Linked DNA regions of Caenorhabditis elegans. The protein of the gene in region 1 interacts with the protein of each later gene in a pairwise test. Each region holds a gene or a part of one and is shown on either strand. Other genes may lie near its edges.

The links. Proteins that work in one complex are often made in the same cells at the same time.
Region 2: the proteins of msp-77 (region 1) and mafr-1 interact in a two-hybrid assay, tested with the Caenorhabditis elegans proteins (one large-scale study listed by BioGRID).

The regions. Positions count from the first base shown.
Region 1 is NC_003282.8:9,892,746-9,895,569, reverse strand, and holds msp-77 (Major sperm protein 77/79), read right to left. Parts: upstream 940-2,824; coding exon 556-939; downstream 1-555. Other genes in the region: ssp-32 (Sperm-specific class P protein 32), read right to left, coding at 54-152; sss-1 (Sperm-Specific family, class S), read left to right, coding at 1,873-2,013, 2,059-2,527, 2,575-2,801. UniProt on the Caenorhabditis elegans protein: Central component in molecular interactions underlying sperm crawling. Forms an extensive filament system that extends from sperm villipoda, along the leading edge of the pseudopod.
Region 2 is NC_003279.8:10,621,173-10,624,931, forward strand, and holds mafr-1 (Repressor of RNA polymerase III transcription MAF1), read left to right. Parts: upstream 1-2,000; 5' UTR 2,001-2,005; coding exon 2,006-2,088; intron 2,089-2,138; coding exon 2,139-2,478; intron 2,479-2,527; coding exon 2,528-2,649; intron 2,650-2,700; coding exon 2,701-2,893; 3' UTR 2,894-3,189; downstream 3,190-3,759. Other genes in the region: Laminin subunit alpha lam-3, read left to right, coding at 22-141; arch-1 (Protein archease-like), read left to right, coding at 3,299-3,475.

The sequences.
Region 1 (2,824 bases):
GCCACCGGAATGGAGAATACTGCGCACATCGCTAATTAACAGTTATCGAATACCTTAAACGCCATTCGAGATTCGTTCACTGACGTAATTGTGTGCGTGGAACTTCCTCCTGACGCTGGAAATGTGGCAGATGGAGGTTCGATGGTTAGCATGTTCAGTTGAGAAATGAAAATGATTGAAAATAAAATGAGTTTACTTTGTTTTGAAATTCGAATGTACCCACGTGGTCCAACGTTACAAAGTTGGCAAATTTCAGTGAACTTCTAGACAGTTTTATTAAAAAGCCATTTCGCATGTTAGTAGGAATTGCAACAAAAAATTTCTACAGGAAAGGATGTGGAGTCAATCGAATTTTATCTAGTAGAAATAATAGGATTCGTGAGCCCGGTTTGCTTCGATTAATTTGTGTACATTCTTTGTATACTTTCGAGACTTGGTTATATTTAAGCATGGAATTTAAGCCAGCTGATCAAGAGGAAGAGCTCAAGTGAGGCTACATTTTGTTTCAAAGAAAGAACAAGCATTCATAAAAAACTCTTTTATTTCACAAGGACTCTATGGGTTGTACTCAATTGGGAGGTTCTTACGACGAGCCATACCGTCTCCCTGGAACCATTCACGACGGAATTGCTTGGCAGCACCATCCGGGGTGTTGGTCCACTCAACAGTGATACGGTCGTTGTTGGTATCCTCTTGTCCGAAGGCGAAGGCATCGCAGGAAACAGCAAGAAGCACAGCTTCCTTTGGGTCGAGAACTCCACATGGTGGATCAACTCCAAGTCTCTTCATATTGGTGGTCTTGATACCATATCCAATACGCCGAGCCGATGAGTTGATCACCTTGATGTGGTAGGTGTGCTTGTCATCGTATGGAGCATTGAAGACGATCTTGGTACCCGGTTGAGTTTGGATGTCTCCTGGTGGGACGGATTGGGCCATGGTCGTTCGATGAAGGAGTTATGAGAACTCTATGAAGATTATGGCAAAATCTTCCAAATTTATAGCAGCCTTCTTATCTCTGCCCTAAATCTGGAAGTTCATCCAAAAATAGGAGATCACGTTGAAATTTGAAAAAAAATCAGTTTTAGCTAGTAGCTATTTTGAATAATTTCATCAATTTACACTTGTTCTGATACCTTTGAGTAACAAAGGAAACCTATTCGTTTTCTGTGAGATGCTAATTATTAATCTACTTGTTTTGTTTTTGTTTTTTGTCTAGAGGATAAGGAAATGAAGACTATTTATTAAACTAATTTTGATCTAGTACTACCTCTTCGTTTTCTGTGATATGCTACTTGTATTAAGCTACTTATATTGCTTTTTTCTTTTGCACTTAGGTGCAACAAAAATACTAAAATTGATCTAGTATTGCTTGATCTATTTTGATCTAGACCAGAAACGGTAACTTTCGGCAGTTCGGGTTGGGGCCACCTCCAACTCTATTGTAAGCAGACCAAGCAGGCTCACGATAAGATCAAGTTCTTCAATTTTCAGAAATTCTCGATTAATATTATAATTTTTTTGAACTTTTGGCTCATAAGGCAAACACTATACATACATATACAACGAATTTCAGCAATGAAAGGATACATTTATTTTTGAGAATATTGTCCAAAAAATGTCTTTGTCGCATTTTTTAAACCTTAAACCTTAAATCTTCAGGTGTTGCTATTTCCCAACTTTTGAAACATTATATCAGGTAATAAAATAAAAAGATTTCAATTCTAATTTTACGTGACCGTTTGTTCATTTTCTACGCTTAAACTTAGGCCATCAAGATAAGACTGATTATATACAAGCTTGAAATCATAAATCTACTTATTGCGAATTTCATCGCTCTACTAACCAACTACAATCAACTCTACTAACACTATGGTCAAGAAGATTACTGTCTACACTGCTTTTGGACAATTCCTCGAGATGATCGAGCGTCAAGCCGAACAGAGAAGGGAAACAGTTCCAGTCATTTGTCCGATCGTTGAAAAGGCTCAGCCAAGGACAGCTTTGAACAAGGTTTGTACAACGAGCTGGATTTTAAAACCAAGGGTCATATTTTAGGTTCAATCTTGCCCAGTTGTTCCAACAACTGCAAGAGTTACAGCGGAGATCAAGAAGAGCATTAGCTGCCCATTATTGGCTCTCCAAGCAGATCAACTGATTGAGGTGACCGTCTCCCCAGTCCCAACAACTACAGAATCAAAAAAGATCAATGAGGCTGCGGAGCTTATGGCCAATTTCTGGATGAGCTTTAATTGCCTTGATAACGAGAAAGAACAGATGGAATCGATTTTTGAGAAGATGAATGGATTGTTTGCTGCACCCTCCACAACATCTACGGCATCACTTTTCGGGAAGTACGAGGGATTTTTTGAGAAAACGGAGGTTGCTACGGAAGATATGAACACGTTTTTGTGGAATTCTCCAGCTCATCCATCTTTCCCACAACTTCCAGTTTTCGTCAAATCTCCAATCGACTCGATGAAAATATATGGAGCAGTTAATCATAAATTCGATATTTCTGAAGATGGTAAGTTTTTTTGAAAGTAGTTTTTTTTAAATATTTATTAATTCTAGAATCACTCCCATGCACGGCTCAATCTGTTTCATCTCCAATTTCTCCATCTTCTACCACCTCGGATTCTTCAAGTGAAACAATCATTCTTGGACCTGGACATCTTCTTCAGGAAGTCTACTTGCAGAGAATGGTCATTGAAGAACAGAAGAAGATCATTGATAGCTTTCATGAAATTCAGAAGCTCAACAAGAAACTGGCTGCTCTTCAAAATAACTTTACAGCTTGATCTTCTTGACAAATAAATACTTC
Region 2 (3,759 bases), on another chromosome or scaffold:
TTTATATTAATAGTATTTTAGATGAACAATAGAATATTCAATAACCTGGATGAACCATCAACTTCCAAGAATGTAATGCCATGCGCCAAAGCATGCAAACTTAAGAGATCATCAAAAAGAAAGCGTAATTCGAAAAATTAAATTTCTATATTTGTAACATTTTCTTCCTGAATTTGAATATGATTCTCAAAAAAGCCCCTTGTTGATTGCCAATTTTAATTTAATTTTTTTCTTCGAATAAACTATTTTAAATTTAAAAAAAAGTGAGTTTGCACATTTTTTGGAACCAGCTTTTGCTGAAAAAAAATGTGTCCCACGATTTTGAACGTCGCTCACTGTATCAATTTTCGAAATTCTTTTCTCTCTACATGAAACAATACTACGTCCATTTCAAGCTCTCAAAATCTAACAGCACAGTTTCAAATTCAAAAACACGAAATGATTGAGAAATAGAGATGCTCTTTTCAGATGGATTACTTTAATTCAATCTCTGCAGCTTTACTTAAACAACGCAGGTAGGAGGCAGATACTGTCGATCAGAGCGGAGCATTGAGCTTCACGTAGCCTGGCTGTCAAATTGTTTCAGTTGTCCATCCATGCACCATGTCTCCTCCGCCGTCGACACAGTAGGGTTTCCAGTCACTTCCAGCTACTTGTTCCAATCCACATCCTGACGTTAATTTCCAATCGATTCAGTTGTACTTCCTGAAATAAACACCAATATGACATTATTTGTAAATGTATTGAGGCAAGCCATCTACAAGCTTATGAGTTTAACAACAAACTTACAAAATAGCTCCCACTTTGGAGTTGTCTTCTTTTTCCTCTGTCTCCTCTATTTATCCTTTGAACGTTTCGTCTTGAGTAGTTTGTCCGGGGGGTTTTTGTGACATATGCCAGTATGAGTATCTGAAAAAAAAGGTTCATACTCTCAATACTCAAAAAGCTGTAAACTTTATGTTTTATAACATTTTAAAACATCAGATTTACACCTCTGACCCGCACTCACTTTAATATTCCGTTTGGTTGAAGTGAACTGGTTTCCAATTCACACACGACTGTAGGTAAATCGGCTCCATCGTCCGAGGTCCACTCGGAGGTTCCTTGCATACTCATATCTTCGTTCACAGCATCGGAATTGTTGAATTGGCATCATCTTCCCATCCTTCTTGGCAGACCATTTGTTGAAAAGTTGAAGACTGAACACTATGACTAAAACTACTTGCTCATATACCAGTCCTTATCAAGATGTACGTGGTCGTTCAAATAAAAATATTTTTTTAAATTGTTTTCCGTATACCGTATATCCTCTATTAGTAAGACGTGCAAAACTAATTTTCGGACACCTAATTTGATGCAAAACTAATAGAGGGTGCAAAACTAATTTTCAAACAGGTTTTTTCTCATGTTTCCCATTAAGTTATAGCAAATATCATCAATTTCAGTAACACCTTATGAACCAAAATGGACTAATTAATTCCACTAAATTCTTGTATTGAATATAAAACTTGTGAATCTCATTGCCTTTTGAAAATTTGATTTGAAACTTGTTAATTTTTTAATCTAAATATTCCTGATTCTGTCATAAATGGTCGTGTTATTTCGTTCTCTAGACCCCTGTGACATCAATTATTTGAAAATCTAGTTTTGACTATAGTTTTTAATTGCAAAACGACTTTCGAAGCGAAATTTAACAAATTTCATTTTACCCCCAAGGTATACGGTAGACAAGTACGCAAACACCAACAACAATATTGCACACATTACACAGAAGTTGCCGACAGTTTGCTAAATCAATGGGATTTTTTTACAGCAGTTTTTCCTTTCTTCACGATAAATCGTTCTGAAAAAGTAATTAAAATTGTTATTTTAGTGTAAAATTTAAAAATTAAATTATTGTTTTCAAAATGCGCGATTTTAAATATTGCAATCTTCATTACGTAGGATTTTTCCGCACTTGAATTCTCCAAATGTTCTCGAAATTTATTGAAAAGCTTTAGAAGCCATGAAGTTTCTGGAAAGCTCCGAAATGGATGTTTTTTCGCAGACACTCGTTACGGGAGCAATCGATTGTGTTATTGATTTCAAGTGAGTCATTTATCTCAATATTAAGAATAAAACAAATCGTTCAATTTCAGATTAGAAACGTATTCGTCGAAAATGGTTACTAGCGAAAAGAAACAATGGAAATCGAACGATAAATCTGTGATATGGGGTGAACGCCAGCCTCTAGGATCTTACGAGGAAATGGTGATGAGTGCATCGCCCAGTGTTGGTCACAATCATCGGCTTCGCCATTTATCGGAACGCTCGTGCTCAGGAGGATCAGACAACGATTTCGACGTGAATGACTACCTGATAAAAGACTCAATTTCGCGAAAGAAATTGTATGATCTGACTCAAGTTCTGAACTGTTCGTTTCCGGATCACGATTTCAGTAATGCCAACAGTGAAGCGTTTGCTCTCGTCAATTATTCGGTTAGTAGCTTCTTACAGCTAAATAACATTAACGCGCATGATTTTTCAGGACCTGAGCCGTCTCGTTGATATGAAGCTTGAGACAATTGTCAGAGACTATCACGTGAGAAGAGAAGAGCTATGGGGAATTATTGATGAGGCAATTGTGCCCGGTGACTGTCAAATATACAGGTATTCCGTTTGATTTGAGAGGATATTTTATATAATTTCCATATTTTTCAGCTTCAAGTCCCAATTCGAAGACGATCCGTTTACCGAAGACGGTTGCATTTGGGCACTTGCCTTCATTTTCTACAACAAAGGACTCAAACGTTTTGTTCTTCTCACAATTCGTTGCCTATCGAAACAAGCCGACACGTCCATCGAAATTTTCCCCGATTTCAGTGAAGACGAGGCGGAACCACAAGAGAAATAGAGTGCAGATTATTCATGTAGAACGCTTAGAATAGACTAATATTCAAGGCGATATAGTATTAGTCTTGCCGGCCAAGCCTCTTTCCCTCTTGTAGTTCTTCTCTTGTAAATAGATTCCATTTCTCATCAATCCTCAACCTCCTCCTTCACCTCTCGAGTTCGCATTTAATTTGCCACTTCCCACACACCTACCGCTAGATTAAAGGAACAAATACTTCGATTCTCATTCCTTTTCGTGGCTCGTAGATATCAATTTTCACAAAAACCGCATCATAAATACATAAAATTGTTTTTTTTAAGTTAATCAAAATCGATTATTTTTTGGTTTCAACCGTTCTGATATTTTAATCAATTTTTCCTCAAATTTATTTGGTTAAGTTCAGTTTAATTTATTTTCAGTGAAATAATGCCGAGCACATCAATGATCGAAGATCGTTCTGAGATCGAACGTCGGCGATTCGAATATCTCGATCATCCGGCAGATATTCAACTTCACTCTTGGGGATCCACAATGGAAGAAGCCTTCGAAGCATGCCTCGTATCAATGTTCGGCTATATGACGGATTTGGCCAAGGTTGATGAGGTAATTTGAAATTGAATTAGATCGCCTCTTGCGCCTTTTAAGAATTTTTCCACTTTCCTCTGTTTTGTCTAATTTTTCTTACTTCACTTGAAATATGCTTATGAACATATGAAATTGCAATTTAAATCGATATCTTGTAGAAATTTTAGCTTTTGTTCGTGTATTCTCTAGTTTTGAAGCTGCTCCCAGAAAAAAGCTCAATTTTTGCCTTCTTGACTTCATTTTCGAACAAAACCCACAATTTCTACAAGAAACTGATTAAAATAAAATTTTAATTTTGCATT